Xenopus tropicalis: one gene and its partners. The protein of the gene in region 3 purifies or fractionates together with the protein of the main gene of each other region. This does not show direct contact. Links are inferred from orthologs where the notes say so. Each region holds a gene or a part of one and is shown on either strand. Other genes may lie near its edges. The genes, in order: g6pd, tgfb1i1, hspb1 and daxx.

Region 1 (5,270 bases), on a different chromosome or scaffold from region 3:
ATAATAAAGCAATTTTTATGGTTTTCTCTTTCATTTCCCTGCAGAGTCCTCCCTCCTGACCCAAAAACACCTATGTACCCCAATAGGCAGAGGAAGTCATATATATGGCAGCTGCCAACCCTGCTGCTCTACTCTGCCTTAAATCCTGATGTACGAGGAAGCATAAGGCTGGAACTAGGGCTAGGCAGCAGGGGCATGTGACTCAATCACAGTTGGGGGGCACAGGCTGGACTGGCATTCAGGGCCAGAACTAGGGGTAGGCAGAAGAGGCAGCTGCCTAGGGGGCAACGATTGAAGGGCGCCAGGCAGGAGCCTCTCTTGCCTACCCCTAGTTAGTGCTCCATTTTCATTACCCCTGCCGCGGTGGGGGCAATGAACTTTCACATCGCACCCCCCCGCCAAAACACACGGGGGGTGCAATGCAATAGTGCAGGGACTAGGTGGCCACCCGGGTTGCCTTGGGTGGCCGGTTGGCTCAGTCCACCCCTGCTGGCATTCCAAGTACACAGAGGCCCAAACAGCCCCCACCAGCCCAATAAATAGTGACTGGAAGAGCGGGAGCAAGCAGTGGGTGGCTGACCTGTAAATTGAACTGAAGTGGGGGATTGGTCCAGTTAGACAAGGGGGCACATTTACTAATCCACGAACGTCCGGAAAGCGTCCGAATGCGGTTTTTTCGTAATGATCGGTATTTTGCGACTTTTTTCGCGAATTTTTAGAGCGCTCAATACGAAAAAGTCGCGAAAATTTGCGAAAGTCGTAATGGCTATGCAAAAGTCGCGACAATTCAAGAAAGTCATAATGGCTATGAAAAAGTCGCAACAATTCACGAAAGTTATATTGGCTATGCAAAAGTCGCGACAATTCACGAAAGTCATAATGGCTATGCAAAAGTCGCGACAATTCACGAAAGTCATAATGGCTATGAAAAAGTTGCGACAATTCGCGCAAGTCGTAACGGCTACGAAAAAGTCGCTACGGTGACGAACAAATCGCAAAAAATACGAAAAAGTCGCAAAATGTTCGTTTCCAATCCAATTTTTTCCGATTCGGGATTCGGATTCGTGGATTAGTAAATCAGCCCCAAGGAGTCATGGGCCCTTCAGTGCCAATTATACTTGGCCTGGCTCTAGGGAAACATACTGTATTTGGGTGCTTGGTTTGGGATAGAGGTGTAAGGATTCTGCAGGGAACCAAAGAGGTATGAAGTGGTTTATTTCTCCTATAATACTATTTTGTCCCAATATAAATAATCCTTTCCATTTTTACCCTTGTCCCTTGTTGAATATTTGTGTTTCGCCGCACAACAATGCAATTAATTTAGTGATCTAAGTTTGCTTTATGGATATGAACCTAAAGTAGGAGATATAAATATTGTAAGATTGTAAGCTCTACTGGGGAAGGGATTGATGTGTAATTACTGCTTTAAAATCCAGTGCCAGAGAGTACTCTGGGATGTACAAGAGTGATGTGGGGAGAAAGGTGCATGGAGTAGAGCAGTGGAATGCTCAGTTTGGGAGGGATTTGATGAAGGGGAGTGGTGAAACATGCATAGTAGGCTGGGAGTCCCTAGACGGGAGCCTGCCTCTATGTCCCGCCCTATCAGACAAACACAACGCTCCTGGCATCTCTAGGGCACACACACAGCACTGACATCTCGAAGCACAAGCTAAACTTGATTCCCCTGAGTCGGCACAGCATCCCCTCAGTGAGTAACCAAACCCTATTGCAGTAATATGGGGGTCTCAAACTGGGTAGGGCACAGCTTGTTTAAGTTTACTCAATGGAAGCCTCTTTCACTTTCTAAAGGAAGGCTATATGTTTATCCTAGTCTGGGAATTTAGAGAGAACTGTCTGTCCTGTTTACTGGAATGTTATTGAGTCCTAGGAAAAGAATGGAAAATTGCAAGATGTAAACAGCTTGAGCTTTCTACGTTCAATTTATATTGTAGTGGGTTCCTCCCAAAATCCACTGAAGCTAAATGAAAGCAAGCAAATATGCTGGCACCAGGGCATCATGGTGAACACCTTAAGGCAGGGTATCGCTCCTTTTAAAGCCAAACACTTAACACTTATAAAATCACTTCTAAAATTCACGTGCTGAGTTATTATGCATTCTGCAGGGCTGCACAGTAGCCAGCACAGCACGCAGCATGTGTCTAAATACAGTTCTACTTAGCCATGAAGGATGTTGGTTAATTATGTGTCTGGTTTTAAATGGAGTGAGGTGTAACAACTGTCACTTGGATTTTAAACCTGTTTTTTCATTATAACACCCAGAAGCCAACATTAGGTAACTGGGCATGCTGGGGTTTGTAGGTTAGAAACAGCACTCCTCATCCTCGTGTTTGTGATGTGGTCACTTTAAAATTTGTTGCTCGTTTGCAAACTTTCCAGATCATTACCATGTGTATTACTTTGTGATTTTGCTTCCTGATGCAGGGGGTCATTCACAAACATATGAACATTTTTTCTCCTTCTTAGCAACCCATAGCAACAGAATTGGCACATTTCCCAGTAATTGTATTTCTCAGGCACTGGCACCTGGAACAAAGGCATCTTCAGTTTTGCTGGGGTCATCAGGCAGGTGATACTGACATTAGCTGGTGAAGAGAATGGTCTGTTCTTTAGATGTTGCTGAACTACCAAGCTGCATTGAATTAAGAGGACACTGTCCATGTCCAGAATAAAAATTAGAATCACTAAAGAAAATTCAATCCGACTTCCCAGTATACATTAAATAAATACAATGCCTTAAAAATTATCTTTGATTTAAAGCAGTACTTTATCTGTCACTTTCTACACTGCTGGTTCTGACTCTTGAAACAGTGCAGCAGCAGAAATCTGCCACAACGATCCCGTTAATCAGGTGGCTTCTGCTACATTGTTTCAGAAGTCAGATTCAGGTCAGAAAACAGCAAGGGACTTCTTTCAGTAGAATTTACAAATAACTAAATACGTTGAACTAAATACGTTGAATGTGTTTAAAGGGGTTGTTTAGCTTTGAGTTAACTTTTGGTATGATGTAGAGAGTAATATTTTGAGACAATTTGCAATTAGTCTTCATTCTTTATTATTTGTCGTTTTGTAATTATTTCACTTTTTGTTTAGAAATTCTCCAGTTTGAAATTTCAGCAGTTATCTGGTTGCTAGGGTCCAAATTACCTTAGTGACCGGACATTGGTTTGAATGAAAGAATCATATATTAATAGGAGAGGACCTAAGCAGAAAGAAAAGTAACAAAAAGTTACACTAACAATAAAATTGTAGCCTCACAGAACAATAGTTTTTGGCTGCTGGGGTCAGTGACCCCCATTTGAAAGTTGTAAAGAGTCAGAAGAAGAAGTCAAGTAATTTAAAAATTATAAAAAATAAATGATGAAGACCAATTGCTTAGAATTGGCCATTCTATGACATACTAAAAGTTAACTGAAATAAATGCATATTGGAAACCTGCTTACAATGACATTTGATTTCATTAGACTTTTTTGGCTTAAGATCCCCTTTAAGCCTTGTTACAGATCAGGAAGTAATGCAATATACTGAGAAGCAGCAATTGCTTGGTGAGCAACCCTTGCATAATTGGATCCGTCCCAGGAATAGGGATGGATTATCCTGGGCGTTCTGTTTATCTGGTGGAACAGGCAGTAACATTGTAACCTACTATTCTCCTGTATCAGTCTGCTGCAGGTGGGGACGGGAGGCATAACTTGCTAGTTTGTACTTATTACACTGTGGGGTGTTGGACACGTCTCCAAATTACGGAAGAGAAGACAATAGTTATGTAATGTTATGCAACAAGGGAAGCCTCCTCTGTAGCATTGCCAGTGTCGGGTCCATGGTCTTGCTCATCAGGCTCTGCCAGGTTCCAGCAGGGAAGGGGTTACAGTCAGATTATCAGTAGGCATTAAACAGTGATTTACTGCTGAATTCCAGCTAGGAAGTGGTGGTACATTTGCTGTATCATGCTGACTGTACCTCACCCTTTGTATTCATGTGCATGGATTTTTGGCATTCTCACTCTCCTCTTCTCTCTTCTGCTCACCTGACAAGCTCCTCCACCTATCCTAGCCCGGTGCCCACCCACCCTGTGCTGCTTCAGCATGCCCCGAGCTTGCATAACTGCCCCAGTGTATTAATTGCTCTTTAACCCATGAGGTATATGAAGAAAATAAGAGTTTCTTAACCCTTTTTGTGCCTATTTTGCACTGGAGCCAGTCGATCAATAAACTGAGGGTATAGCTTGCTGTTTGCATTGGATATACTTTCTGAGTACTTGCATTTATATATATGATGGTTTGGAGATGCCATGTTGCTTATCTATGTTCAAGCATTTTTTTTTTAGACTGCAGCATAAAACATAACCATTTAGGGCAGTGGTCCCCAACCAGTGACTTAAGGGCAACATGTTGCTCCCAGTGGCCTCAAAGCAGGTGCTTATTTTTGAATTCCTAGCTTAAAGGCAAGTTTTGGTTGCATAAAAAACAGATGTACTGCCAAGCAAAGACATCTGTAGGCTGCCATTCCATATAGGGGCTGCAGAACAACCAATCACAGCTCCTATTTTGAACCCCCAGGAACTTTTTGCATGCTTGTGTTGCTCCCCAACTCTTTTTACATTTGATTGTGGCTCACTGGTAAAAAAGGTTGGGGACCCCTGTTTTAGAGGGAAGACAGACAAGACAATTAGTCTACGTAATTTAAAAAAACATTGGAGATATGCGGTGTGGGAACTGCTATTCTCACCATGGCGATTAGTTTTTAAAAATCCTATTGTGGCAACTAAGCACCTCGTCTGTCCCTCAATGACTATTTCCTTGCAGCAGCTCCTCATATGTATGGTACAGGTCTACAGAGGCAGAACATTCTATGCCCATAAAATGCTTTAACCCATACTGTACTGTACTTTTTTGTTCAGCCGCTCTCCAGTTTGACATTTTTGGCAGCTATCTGGTTGATAGGGTCCAAATTACCCTATCATGCAGACAGTGCTGTGAAATAGAGACTGGAAGATGAATAAGAGAGGGCCTGAATAAAAGGACAAATAATAAAAAATAACAATAAAAAATAGTTTTTGGTTGCCAGGGTCAGTGACACCAATTTGAAAGTTGGAGAGAGTCAGAAGAAGATGGCAAATAATTAAAAAAAACTATATAAAAAATAAGGACCAACTGAAAAGTTGCTAAGGATTGGCCATTCTACAGCATACTAAATATTAACTACCCCTGCTGTATAATAATCTGTGCCTTTATACCTAGTGTTAGCTGAAC
Region 2 (3,785 bases), on a different chromosome or scaffold from region 3:
CAGCGCCCTGTTATTGGCTGCTCGCACCCAGCACACAGCGACCCACGGCGGGAGTGGTAATGAGTCTCACATAGAGGTAAGCCTTCGTGCTCAAAGAAACTTCCATTGATGAATGGTGTGTGGCACACCTACAGTATAAAGCGGTAAAGAAAGAGTTAAACATGATACATACATACATATAATACCAAAAATTATGTCACATGACATACTGACTTTATATAGTCACAGTGACTTCTAATATCCTTATCATTTACAGTAGGGGGTACATTATCCTTTATAATACATGAGTGATACCCAGAGTTCCCTGTATAACTCAGCCTGCAGCCTTGTGCCTTTATATGGGCACAGAACCCCTCAGTGACAGCTAATATCCTTATCATTTACAGTAGGGGGTACAGTATCCCTTATAATACATGAGTGATACTCAGAGTTCCCTGTATAACTCAGCCTGCAGCCTTGTGCCTTTATATGGGCACAGAACCCCTCAGTGACTGCTAATATCCTTATCATTTACAGTAGGGGGTACATTATCCCTTATAATACATGAGTGATACTCAGAGCTCCCTGTATGACTGCAGTTGCATTTATACACACAGGGGGGAGCTGACATACTGTTTGTCAGACACAGTACAATGAATATATCAGCAGGACTGCACATGTATTTGTCCCCTCACTGGGGGGTAGTTTAGCACTGATGACTATAGATAATGGGAGAGCCAAAGCTCTGTGCAAGGAAACATGAGCACCCATAAGCGCGTTACTCACATGGCACACAAAGCATTGTGGGTGCCACAAGCCACCCAGGGCAGAGATATAACTCTCCTTCACCGCCTCAGAGCAGCCTGCGCAGACGGCCCCAAACAGTCGGAAATAGTCATCTGAGCAGTACTGTTCCCCATCCTTCTCATGGAAACCTGCAAGAGAGACCAAGCAAGGGGAAAGTTACTTATGGGGACACATTTACAAAGAGAGGTGCTACAGCTAGGGGCCAAAGCATTGCACTGTGGGTAATGTTATAGAGCAGGATACCCCCGAAAGATCAGGTACCCCAACCCGTTGGGGCAGATTTGAGGGCACACAGCTGCTGTGTATTGCATAGCATACAGCATTTCAAAAATGCCAAAAATGTGCCTGAAGGCAAGAATGTACATATACTGGGCAAGTTGTCTCTGGGGCATGAAAGGCACCGTCATGGCGAGAGCTCAATCAATCACCTTTGGGCTAATGAGCCTGTTGTACAAAGTTGGCTACATGCCAGCTGTACTGACACGCCAGTTACACGCCAAGGATACATTAGAATGAGGGACCAACATTTAAGGCTAGTCACCTCAGAGCTCCATGACCTCGGCCTTCAGCCTCGTGCTTTTATATGGTCATAGGACTCCTTATAATATCCTTATATTTTACAATGGGGGTACTTTATTCACTATTTATTGCACAAAAAGTAAAGCCTTACAGCATCACAAGAGGTAGATCATGCACTATGTGGCAATAGGATATATGGTGACACCATTATAGGCAATGCATTATATCACAATAATAGGTATTATAGTGCAAAACATGCCTTGAGGGTGTATTGGTATTGGATATAATGGAATGCCTGGCTGGGGAATGCACTGTGACAATCAGGGGGCACTGGAATGGGAATACTCACCCTCTTCCCCTATTGGTTTTTTGCAGACTTTACAACAAAAATGCTCCGGATGCCAAGTGCACCCAAGTGCCGTAACCATGTTCTGAAGGGAAAGAGAAAATAGTATTAGAAACAGGAAATCTGGGTCAATATAGCAGTAATAAATGTACCAGTATAAAGGTGGCCATACACAGTCAGATTTAAGCAGCCAATTTGATTCCTTTAGACTGATTTGAAAGCTTACGTGCCCATGTATGGTGCCCCCCCAATGGGCTTCCCCTGATATCTGACTAGGTGTCAATTGGGCAGGTTTGCTTTTCCCATCAGATTGGGGACTGCATTGACTCACTGGTGCAGTCCTCGGCCCGACGATGCCTTTGGCCGCCATACGATCAAATTAGCTCAATATCACCCACCTTAGATGGGAATATTGGGAGAAGATCCGCTTGTTTTGCAACCTCACCAAATGAGCAGATCTCAAAGTGTATGGCCACCTTTAGGGTAAAGTCCAGTTTGATATGATTGCTTTGGAACCCCCACTAGTAAGCTCTTGTGGTCTTCCAGAGTCCAGAGTCCAGCCTTACCCCCAGGTTGTCAATGAGACAAAAGGACCACGGGGTGGAACAGTCAACATTCTTGCCTGCGCCTTATGTATATTCCAAGAGGCTAGAGCCCTGTAACTACTGTTTGATCCAGGGCTAACTCAGTGGCTCACAGCAGCAAATTACTAAATGCCACCAATCAGCAACCTATACCCCTATATTAAATCACTACCAAGCCTAGTACATATGTTGTAACTTTTATAACATTCCCCACAGGTACGTTACCTGCACTATGGGCAGTTCACATAGAGCACAGCGTGGGGCGTAGAGCATAAAGTAGTCTTTCTCACAATATGGTCGACCGTCCTTCTCGAAAAAGTTGGTTGTGCCAATCAGAGCGTGGCAGTGGGCACACACAAAATGCTCTGGGTGCCAGGTATGTCCGAGAGCGGTAACCACCTGAAGAAGACAATGGGTCACAATTTAACAAAATCCAACAAGAACCCCTTCATTACCACAGCACAACCCCAGGACAAGAAGCTGTTGTTTCAGCAGCAGGAATGGCTTAGTCTGGGGCACTGGGGCACTGGGGTAAATGCAACCAAGACAACATACAGGCACTTACAGACTCTATACAAGGTCAAAATGTACAGTTTTGTTCGTTTAACTGGACTAACCCAGTAAAAACCAGTTGCTATGGGTTACTAGACCTTTCACAGTATAATTACATAGTACATACAGTTGTCATACTTCAATTAAACTATCACTATGAAGATAAGGTGCCTTGTCTGCAGAACTTGTTATCTCCCACCGCCTGCTGTCTGGCCGTCTTCAGCTTCATGGTTGGATGACTCTTGTTTGTATTTCCTGCTTGTAGAACTGGAAAACCGTGTTCTTGGGCAAATTTGAACAAGAAAAGTATCAAAACATCATACACGGTTGTGATTTTTACACACACGGTGGGAGGGGAAATGTTACGGTAGAAAGAACTTTGATTTTGGGACTATGGGCACCGAATTACTGACCTTCAGAAAAGACTTTGTCATCAAGGCCAACTCTTCATCAACATCACTTCATCATTACTTCATTTAAAAGGAATGAAACTTCACACAAATTTCCACCAAAATGTTTCCGGGGGTGCAAGAATAAATGATGGACTATGGATCCATAAATCAGCATATTCTGCACTAATGTAATAATAGTCCTAAGCTTTGCTCTTGGTCTAGTAACCCATAGTAACCAATCAAATGTTTGCTTTCAAACAGGTGACAAGCAAATGTTACCTGCTGGTTGGTTTCTATTCTGCTGATAGATTCTACTTGACCGAGAGCATATATTGTGACATTGCCCCCTAGAGGTGAGGCAGGGGTATACATAGTGTATATTACCTGCCCAGCTATGGGACGCTGACAGCTCTCACACAGACCCTTGCTTTGCGTTTCAATGCCTTGTAGTTTCAGCCCAGACTGTAGCTTCACCAGCATTGAGTCCAAATCACTCCTTGGACCACTTGTGGCTTCTGGAACTTTGCAACCAGACACAGAATCAGGAACCCGGGAAGCAGAAATGACTTGGTCTGTTTTGACGTCCAAATGCACAGGAGCGGACAC
Region 3 (5,342 bases):
CATGCACTTTAATAATTTTGTTTCTCTGTATTGCATATAACTATTACAGCTTATTAGTGATACTGCATTTAGAAATCAATTTTCTGAAGTAAAAATTACCAGAGAAATGGATGTTTATATTCATAAAAATATTCTGCCCTTTCCTAATCTAATATTTTATCTTAGTGCTGTAAATACAAAGGTAACCATCTTTACATTCTATTTCTATATAAATAAATCATGATGACCTTGTCCTATATATAGTAGCTTTTCTCTTAGTTAGGTTACATACTGAAATGTCACTGGCTTACTGATAAAGCCTTATTACTAGCAACAAAGCCTCAGTTGCTACAACAAATGTCTGTTATCTAAACTGATGTGCTGGAGACATTGTCCATTTGGGTCTATTGATACATGATACATTCAGCACATGGTACAGCTTTACCCTTGAATATACAATACCCCAGTTACCCTCAAAAGACTTGCGCTGCTAATGGCATATCTAATAAACCTTGTCTCTTTCTACTCTTAAACACGACTGATAAATGCATCTGATGCCAGCTTTGTGTTCTAAGGCTTATCAATGATAAGTCTACAGCACAGGGCTGCCTGGACTGTGTTGAAACCATTTCAAGATTATTGAGCAAGCCGACTTGCTTAAGGGCCATGGCCCACAGGGATATTATTCGCAGGGAACTAATCTCCCCAAAATGCCTTTCCACTTGCAATATAATGAATAACCTGTGGGAAAAAATATGCAGCATTTTGTTTTCCATCTGCTATTCACTTTATTTCCTGTGGGAAGGCATTTCAAAGAGATTAGTCACCCACAGTAGCCAAGATTTAACCACGAGTGACCAATCTCAATGGCACAAGAGGAGATTAGTCGCCTGCAACAAATCGTTATTGTGGACCTTTAATCTCCTCCAAATGCCTCAATGCCTATAGTTTACTTGCAAGGCAACTTTAACAACTTCATAAACCTAAAGTGATGCATATGTTTTCCCACTAGCAATTTGCATTATTGCCAGATGGAAGGCAAATTGAGATGAATGCAAGTAGGTGCAAGAACATTGGTTATGCCATTTTTATGAGAACTTCTGTGACCCTTTTTGCCCCGAGCATTCATAAATTAAACCTATTATCTAACAATATGATTCCTCTACTTCCCCTAGTTATATATAACTATTGTAATCGCTGCCACCTGCTGCTCTATGTGAAATTTGTCAGCACCCATACCACAGTTTCAGTGTGGTCTCCCCCACCCCCATTACATTTCTACAGTTTACTGTGTGTTAAATAGACCATAGGATATGTTTTAAAAATGAGTTGGAAAAATGAGCTGAGGCAGAAATAGAGATGATCAAGTTTTCTATTTGCAGAAGTATCGTATGATTATTATGATTTGTGCACAACAATATTGCCTTTTTTCTGTGAGTGTGTGACTAACCAAAACTTGAAGGAGAAGGACATGATAGAGAGGCAAAATAATGTCATTATATAAAATAACTAACTGTAAGCTTAATTACTTTACAAAAAAAATGTTTCATGAGATTCCTCTTTAATACTGTCCTTTAATACTTCAGTCCTAGCTATTTGTAGCTGCAATGCTGCAGAGTGACTTATATATATATATATATATATATTATATATATATATATATATATATAGACAGCAGTGGCGTGGAGAAGGGGAAGCAAGTGGTGAGCAGGGCTAGGCGTGCAAAATCTATAAATCCGGCCCTTACAGTACTGCATAATAATTTTAATGGGTAACAAACTAGGGGAAATATTTATCATGTGTAAAAAGTGGACTGAAACACTAACTGTGACATTGCCTAGGGCACCAATCAGCAATTAGATTTTAAACCAAAGCAAACATCTGGTTGGCTGCTATGAACAGCAGCACCGGTAATGTTTTACTCCCACTGCCCCCTAACTTGTTTATCATTCAAGCACACAAGTTAGGGAGTGAAGGCAGATGCTAACTGCAATGGTGCTCCTTACAACCTGTCCAGGCTGTGATGATAGGACTGGCTTATGAAGCTGCATTTTAAGGCAAAAATGGAGAAGGGACATGCTGTTGTGCCCCTAAGTGCACTTGCTCTTCTGCTCTAGGTCTACATAAATTCTATATAAATTACCTCCAGTATATATGGCAGATGATTCTGCTGGCAGTAGAGTAGGTTGGCCATAGTTAGGAATTGATTTGGGAAGTTTTAAGTAGGGGTAGGTCTTGGACCCAATAAACTGTATTACAGGGTAGAGATAAAGGAAGTGCCGCATTGGCCTTAGAAACTTCAAGGTGGACATTTAAGAGCCCAGTCCTAGGTGGAGCTGGATGTCCTTGGTTAGGCTAGCTAGGTATGGGTTATTCCTCCGAGGTGAGAGGCAGGTACGTTAGCTAGCAGGGGTAGCTGTGCCCAATGAAGGAGACAACCGTCACATGTGATTTTGTACCAGAAAACAGAGTGTGCCTTTTCATTCTAGGCATGACAGAGCTGCATAGGTAAGGAAGTCACCTCTTGGAGATGGTCTCAGTATGGCTTTTGTTTAACTTTTCTATCATGTTGTATCCAGGCTATGGTAAGGAACTAGGTGTCCTTTGTCCTATGAGCTTGAAAATCGATTACAAAATTGCTTGAAAGTTCAGGGAAATGTAATTACTTTGCAACCAGTGCAGCCCTGCTAAGTGCATTTATTAGAAGTGGTAATGCAGTGTGTTGGAATTATACAGCAAAACAGTATGTGAAAGGCATTTTTTAAAATAATCAATGTAGAATGTTATACTATTATTGCTAGTATATGAGGTTAGCCATGCCATACCTGTAATTTCCACGATGCCATCTTTAGTTTTTATGACCAGCTCCTCTGGGGCAAAATGGTTGACATCTAAGCTGATTTTCCATTGGTCTGAAGTCTGACGGATCTCTGAGATTCCACTGCTAAGCTGGCGGCTGAGGGCACGATTAAAGTCAGGAGCAGTTGCACCAGCAGGTGTGGTGGGGGGGACAACTTCCATGGACTGGCTTGGAAGCATGCGAACATAGCCTGGCCAGCTGGTGCTGGGCCATTGGTACCAGTCCTCGGGAATACGTGGCATACCGAATGACTGATCGAAAAGGCGACTGGTGCCTTGGTACCAGTCCCGAAATGGGTCCCAGCTTGGAGTGCGGAGGAAGGAGAATGGTATTCTGCGTTCTGACATTTTCTCTAGACCTGTGCCAGCTAGTAAGTGCTCTTTACTCTGTTCGGCCTGTGGTTGCTCTGAGGGTCTGGAAGGTGCAGCGGCTTTATGAAGAGCTAGCTGGTTATTTTTAGCTGATGGAATGAGCATTCTATTAATGGAAATTACACATGTAGTTGTGATGGAAATGTCTGGCATCTCTGCATGACAATACAATGACAGGGCACTCTCTCATAAACTGGGTAAACTTAACTTGTAGCCTTCTCAAGTTCCCAAGGGGGTAAAGGGTCTATAAACTGATGCTTTCTCTATTGATGACTTTGCAGAATACATTTTAGGAAAGCAAATTAGGGTAGAATGTAGAGAACCTCATGGCAACAAATTAGATGTTTGCTTTCATTGTTCTACCTACTCCTTGTTTAAATAAGCTAATCATTGACTTGCTGCTATGGGTTACTGACCAGGTCCAAAGTTGCCTACTGTAAAGAGGTAAAAAGATTATTCCTAGTTTTATTTTTAACCATAAAAGAAATGAATTGTTACATGAAGAGAAGAATATATTAACATTGTATTTTTTTCAACATTGTTATAAAGCACCAGCATACACCATATACAAATACTTAAAGGAGAAGAAAAGGTAAAAACTAAGTAAGCTTTATCAAAAAGGTCTATGTAAATACAGCCATAAGGACTCACAGAGTCCTCTATCAAAAGAAACACAGGATTTCTTGTCTCCTTTTTTGTAAACATGTTCTTAGGGTATCTGACTTCCTCTCTCAAAAAATCCTTCATTCCTGGGCCCTGAGTTGGCTTAGTTCTCTCTCTCCCTTCTGCTCCCCCTTCCCATAAGAATACATAAAACTTATTCCCCCCATCCTTAGGAATGTGTAATATGGGCTATCAGCCTCTAGATCTACTGCAGGAAGCTATGAACCCAAGCTAAAATGGCAGCTGCACAGAAAACAGAGAAAGCTTCTAGGAATCTTTACTCAGGTATGGTAATGCTTTCTGCAGAATAAATATAGCGTTCTAGGTGGCACTAAAGTGGAGAATCTATTGGCAGTAAATTGCCAAAATGACTTTCCTTAGCCTTTAAGCGAGCCATCCTTATAAGATCTCTTGACTCAGAATATAACAATCTACAATAGCCCTTGCAAAACTACAGAGGAATTTTTTACACTATTTTGAGAAAGAATGAGAAAGCTGTAATAAAATTCCAGTGTTCATTAAAAATGTGTCACTAAGATATACCCACAAAGTATTATGTGATGTTTCATGAACTGTGACAACCAACTTAGTCTGTTCTTCATTGTGTTTTTCATAATCAGAGCCATGCATAACATGTAACATATTTGCTTTTAAAGGATGCTTAGTGGGATTGCCATCATTGTGGTGGACCAGGACAAAGTGGGCAAGACAATGACGTTAAAAAGTAGGGTAATGACATTGAGGGCAGAACCATGATGTCAGCCATTGGGTCAGGGACACTTGAGAGCAGAGTTATGATCTTGGTGGGGCTTTGATATTGCAGGTGTGCAACTGGGCAATTTTAATCCAGGTTTTACAATGCTAAAAAGTTTTGAACAACAGTCCCCTATAAAAAACAGCTATTCTGTTCAAAACTGGATAGGTAGCAACCCTAGTGATTAATTATATAAATTATTAAAATCAGTGTTTCGTGATATCAGTTGTCACATGATTCACTGAAAACTGTGTTTTATAAAAACTTCCTCCCCTATTCCTAATGTATGATGATATTACAAATTACCTTGCGTTGCCATGAACTGTAAGAGAAATATGGTAAAAAATATCCTTATATTTTACATAGGGTATGTTATTTTCTTCCGGTCAGAATGCATTTGTATTGTTGTTGCTGATCAGCCTTTAGATGTCTGAGAGATGTAGTTTAACAGCAGCACAGTATCCCTGACACTGATTTATAAAGGAAGGTTTATCTAACAATAAAAAATGCCCAGATTTCTTAAGGTTAACAGATCTCTAGAATACGCTGGGATAGAATATCAATTTGCATTCAGGACAACCCAGCATTTTTCGAGAAATCTTAATTTTTCAGATAAACTGCCAATCTCACTCTCTGTCCCTGTTTCTGGCAGTTGAAATGGGTTATTACAACACAATATCTCATCCATGTCATACATGTCAACTGGGGTGGGGGC
Region 4 (5,173 bases), on a different chromosome or scaffold from region 3:
ATTGATTTACCTTGAACTATATATGCGAACATTCTTGTATGTTATTGAATGATAATATGGAAAACTCAACTATGGCTGTACCCCTCCCCCCCCCCCTTTTTCCTTTCTGTATCCCTACCCTTATATACTGATATAAGCAATAAAAAGAATTTCTGTTAAAAAAAAAAAAATATTCGGAAATAATTTTTTACTGTGAGAGCTGTGAAGTTGTGGAATTCCCTCCCTGAATAGTCGTACTGGCTGATACATTATATAGCTTCAAGAAGGGGTTGGATGGCTTTTTAGCAAGTGAGGGAATACAGGGGTAGGGGAGATAGCTCTCAGTACAAGTGAGGGAATACAGGGGTATGGGAGACAGCTCTCAGTACAAGTGAGGGAATACAGGGGTATGGGAGATAGCTCTCAGTACAAGTGAGGGAATACAGGGGTATGGGAGATAGCTCTCAGTACAAGTGAGGGAATACAGGGGTATGGGGGATAGTTCTTAGTACAAGTTGATCCAGGGACTGGTCCGATTGCCATCTTGGAGTCAGGAAGGAATTTTTTCCCCTCTATGGCAAATTAAAGAGGCTTCAGATGGGGTTTTCTGCCTTCCTCTGGATCAGTGCTGTCCAACTGGCGACCCCCTCTGTGTGGCCCCCCACCTGTCTGGCTGCTTTGATGGCTTACCTTTGTGTAAACTTTAAATGGTATCAGTACTGAGATTAACTGCCCCCCTGCATTGTTCTCACCTCAGATTCAGGCTGTAAACCCCTGTATTGTTTAAAAATGTAATCCCCTGTGTTGTTCACACCTTTTAATCCCTGCATAGCTGACCTATGCTGTCTGTGTGTATGGCACACACAGGTAGAGCAGGCAGAGTATGGCACACACTGGCAGCATAGGGCAGGGAGGGTATGGCACACACACGCAGCTAAGGGCAGGCAGAGTATGGCACATGCAGGCAGCATAGGGCAGGGATGGTATGGCACACACAGGCAGCATAGGGCAGGGAGGGTATGGCACACACAGGCAGCATACGGCAGGGAGGGAATGGCACACACAGGCAGGGTAAGGCAGGCAGAGCATGACACACAGGCAGCTAAGGGCAGGCAGAGTATGGCACACACAGGCAGGGAAGGGCAGGCAGAGTATGGCACACACACGCAGCTAAGGGCAGGCAGAGTATGGCACATGCAGGCAGCATAGGGCAGGGATGGTATGGCACACACAGGCAGCATAGGGCAGGGAGGGTATGGCACACACAGGCAGCATACGGCAGGGAGGGAATGGCACACACAGGCAGGGTAAGGCAGGCAGAGCATGACACACAGGCAGCTAAGGGCAGGCAGAGTATGGCACACACAGGCAGGGAAGGGCAGGCAGAGTATGGCACACACAGGCAGGGTAGGGCAGGCAGAGTATGGCACACACAGGCAGCTAAGGGCAGGCAGAGTATGGCACACACAGGCAGGGAAGGGCAGGCAGAGTATGGCACACACTGGCAGCATAGGGCAGGCAGAGTATGGCACACACAGGCAGCATAGGGCAGGCAGAGGCATACTTTATGGTTGAACTTTATGGATATATGTCTTTTTTCAACCTAACTTACTATGTTACTATGTAATGTAACACAAGCCAGCAGACTGAGAGAGCTGTCTTGCTGCAGGAGATGAATCAGTACAGTTTTACCAGTAAGTCATACCTAGAGCCTCCCTAAACTTAAAAAGATTACTGTATCAGCCTCAGTGCCTGGACAGCAGTACCAGCACCATAGGGAAAGAGACTGGGTTATGCTAATTGTACTAAAAAACAACTCATTGCGGCTCAGACTTCCCTACGCAAGGTTACGTTACGTCGCAAGCACCGCCCACTTTCTTACACGGAAACGGAAGCAGATAGTGGAATAGCTGAATCTAAACGGGACCGGAAGCGGACGTTGAGTGGGACTGGCGCGATAATTTTCCGATTATACCGTATGTTATTTGTGTTTGGGAATACGATTTTTATAATATAGTCTGTGCGCCTATGGTACTACGTGTGGCAGATTGCTAAAAATTCGGCTACTCACCAAGGTAATCACCTGCTTATTTAGCTTTCTATATATTGGGGTGGTATTGTAGTAACAAAAAGATTTTGGAAGAAGTCTTGTAACCTGACAGGCGTAACATTTGGCAGCAGTTAAAGACAAGTAGAGAAGTGTTCTGTGTCCGTGCAAATGCAGTTGGTCTGTGGCCCTGCTAGCTGCCTTGGAACTCCCGTCTGTCACACACATACGGCAGCCGCGGTGGCGAGATGTTATAGCTCCATGTGTATTTAATGGCATTAAAGCTATCTGATTATTTTATAGACATTAATGTTGTGTGCAGACTTATTGTAGGGACCTCCTTCCCTTTTTAATGCGAATTATAAAATAGAAAGTGAGAAAAAGGGAGAAAAGCAAAGAAAAAAGAAAAAGAAAAGCCAAATGTACCTTATAAAATGGTAGGGCTTTGTTTACAGCCTCTATCTGAATCTATTCCACTAAGTATAATTTCTTTTTTTACATAGAACTATACAGGTAGAAGGAAAGTATTCTGCAGGAGGTGATTCCAGTAGTCAGACCTAAAACTGCAGTTGCTGGGTTGGGTTCTATTTTCAGGACCATTCCCTTAGAAATAAAAGCTAAGATCAGGATTCAATAATCATGGATATCCGGACAAGACAGTTTTACATGTAACCAGGCCCCAGGACCACCTTTACATCTGGGGCATGTGCCCCTTGTTTGGGTTAAGATCATTTAAGCTGTGCCCAGTGTGAAATTTTGGGTTTCATGTCCACCACAATGGGATCAGCATTGTTTAGTTTGAAAAGCTTTATGTCCTTCGTCGACATTTCACCTAAATATTAAAGTTTATTAACCCAGAAGAGGGGGGCATATATGGGGGTAATTCAGGGACCCCCATTTCTATTTTCCTCTTCCTACATCACACTTAGCTTTAGAGTTTAGTAAATCCTGTAGCATTAGTTTACATGACTGGCAAACCTCATTTTCTGCTTTATAATTTGTGAGGACCCCTAAGCTTTTTAACAGCTGCCCATAGCCCACTGAGCGTGTGAGTGTCACCGGCACTTCTAACAGAAGATGGGGAGCTCCTGTCATGAGTTTGAAGGTCTGGATCATTACTAATATAGAGATGCTGAACCTTTAGGCTGGTCCAATAATTTCAGTTTCTAGCCATATTACTTTTTAGGGTATAATTATTCTTTTAAAGGACATGTAAACCCCACACACAAAAATTTAATCAGCGAACAGCCTCTTTGAAATCTTTAATAGTAAGGCTGCAACATCTCCTTAATCACTTAGATGCTCCTCCTGTAACCCACTCGGCCCCCACCCTCAGGAATTTGCTTTGACTTCTGGCTTGTGGACATGCTCAGTTGTTCTAAGCTCAGATTACTAGACACGCCCTCCAGTCTTAGCAGCCAGTGAAGAGATGGCATTGCTGGTTCCCATAGAAACTCAGCTCTAGCTGTCTGCTTCAATTTTTTTCTCCTAACCTCCTCTCCTGAGCTCAACTCAAACAAAGCAGAACTTTTATCAAAGACAGTTGTGCCTGTGTAAGCCTGTATTCTTGATGGAATGTATGCTGAATAAGGGTCTGTGTGTGTGTATGCTGTTTGCATATTTAAATGTATCTGATTATGTATTAGAGGAAAAATGGCCACCAGGTGAAAGCTGCTATTTGCTTTAGGAAAATGTGATGGTGCTAGCAAGCGGAGAGGATATATGCAGTGCAAATGATGTCATTTGGGTGGGGGAGACGTGCCCAACTGATATACATTGTAGGCAAATGTAGGGTTTACATGTCCTTTAAGTATACAATTCCTGTAGAAGTGACTGGAAAAAAAACATGAAGCAGCACGTGATCTCATTCAGCTCATTCTTGTTGAAATTGAATATAAAACACTAATATCCTCACCAACTTATAAAGTCAACTGGCTGAATAGCCAATTCACAATTAAGTGCAATGCAGATTGCACTGTTTTTTTGTGCAGCTATTTAGTATATATCTGCTTAGAAGTCTACCAGCACATAATTTTATGAAATATATTTAATTGAGGTCAACAGTGGTTTCTACACAACTTCCAAGAATCAGAAAAGATAAAAATGATTTGGCCTTACATAATGTATTTCCAATCCCTCCTATCTGGCATTGTATCAAATGAACTGAGGTGTGAAGTTGTGGAAAATCTATTTTTAAAGTGGTTGTACCTGCATTTACATTAGTTTTAAGAAATGGATGGATGACTTTTTAGGCAAATAAAAAAAGCTCCTGCCTCATTTGCGTTTAGGCGGATATCGGCTACATGTGCCTGCACCCGAGCGTATTCAATTCATTCGGGTGCAGGCACAGGTAGGGGGATTTTTAAGCGTATAGAGCATATTCTCAGCATGCGTTTTTCGGCTTGCCAAAAATATGCGCCATATGCTACGTGTGGGCCCAGGAGCCTCAGTAAACACCCTCACCTGACCATAGGCTAATATACGAATCACTGCAACTAATCCTGCAGCAGTTTGCGGTGTGCTAATTAGTTGTCGCATTTCACCTCCTATTTCTGCACCCTGCCATCCTCTCCTACCTTCCCCAACATTTATAGTTTTCATTTGTTTTTTTACTAAATTGGGTATGTCTAGCTAAGATTTTTTTTGTTTCAATATTGAAATTAATGTAAACACTAAATGTACTGTATAATATATCATATTTTATCTCTCTGGTTTGCATTTTTAGTCATTTTGTAGTAGCTGTTGGTTGGTTGTTAATGCCAATAGCACAATAAGGCTATTAAAAGTAGTATTTTGACCATTGATCTCAATGTGCTAAAAGTTTTCTTTTTATTATTTTAGTTCATTTATTGCATTCTCCATTGTTCTTCATTACTTGTTTTTGCCTGTGTAAATTTCCTGTAGAACTTTCCATTGTGTGGGGCCTCTATAGGACTCATAAATTTGTAATGTTATGTTTATTGGGCTTCAAACTGTTCATAAGAGCCCTGGCATTTATATTTGAGTTGTTGTATCTTAGTCATTTGACAGAGAGAAGCTTTGTAGTTATGTAGTAGCTGTCTTTTTGGGACCAACTTACCGTTTTACTGTTTTTTAACCATACCTTAAAAGTAGACAGTGTTAAATGTAGTGAGGATATGTTTAAGT

The links.
Region 1: the proteins of hspb1 (region 3) and g6pd fractionate together in Homo sapiens (co-fractionation; 3 studies listed by BioGRID and IntAct, with this or other methods). This does not show direct contact. The link is inferred for Xenopus tropicalis from reciprocal best matches to the Homo sapiens genes HSPB1 and G6PD.
Region 2: the proteins of hspb1 (region 3) and tgfb1i1 purify together in Homo sapiens (affinity purification with western blotting; 3 studies listed by BioGRID). This does not show direct contact. The link is inferred for Xenopus tropicalis from reciprocal best matches to the Homo sapiens genes HSPB1 and TGFB1I1.
Region 4: the proteins of hspb1 (region 3) and daxx purify together in Homo sapiens (affinity purification with western blotting; 3 studies listed by BioGRID and IntAct, with this or other methods). This does not show direct contact. The link is inferred for Xenopus tropicalis from reciprocal best matches to the Homo sapiens genes HSPB1 and DAXX.

The regions. Positions count from the first base shown.
Region 1 is NC_030684.2:25,680,047-25,685,316, reverse strand, and holds the start of g6pd (glucose-6-phosphate 1-dehydrogenase), read left to right. Parts: upstream 1-1,663; 5' UTR 1,664-1,708; intron 1,709-5,270. UniProt on the Homo sapiens protein: Catalyzes the rate-limiting step of the oxidative pentose-phosphate pathway, which represents a route for the dissimilation of carbohydrates besides glycolysis.
Region 2 is NC_030685.2:14,005,502-14,009,286, reverse strand, and holds part of tgfb1i1 (transforming growth factor beta-1-induced transcript 1 protein), read right to left. Parts: coding exon 3,564-3,785; intron 2,635-3,563; coding exon 2,461-2,634; intron 1,737-2,460; coding exon 1,655-1,736; intron 915-1,654; coding exon 766-914; intron 129-765; coding exon 1-128. UniProt on the Homo sapiens protein: Functions as a molecular adapter coordinating multiple protein-protein interactions at the focal adhesion complex and in the nucleus. Links various intracellular signaling modules to plasma membrane receptors and regulates the Wnt and TGFB signaling pathways.
Region 3 is NC_030678.2:94,195,849-94,201,190, reverse strand, and holds the start of hspb1 (heat shock protein beta-1), read right to left. Parts: upstream 3,235-5,342; 5' UTR 3,187-3,234; coding exon 2,805-3,186; intron 1-2,804. UniProt on the Homo sapiens protein: Small heat shock protein which functions as a molecular chaperone probably maintaining denatured proteins in a folding-competent state. Plays a role in stress resistance and actin organization.
Region 4 is NC_030684.2:72,201,847-72,207,019, reverse strand, and holds the start of daxx (death domain-associated protein 6), read left to right. Parts: upstream 1-1,868; 5' UTR 1,869-2,054; intron 2,055-5,173. UniProt on the Homo sapiens protein: Transcription corepressor known to repress transcriptional potential of several sumoylated transcription factors. Down-regulates basal and activated transcription.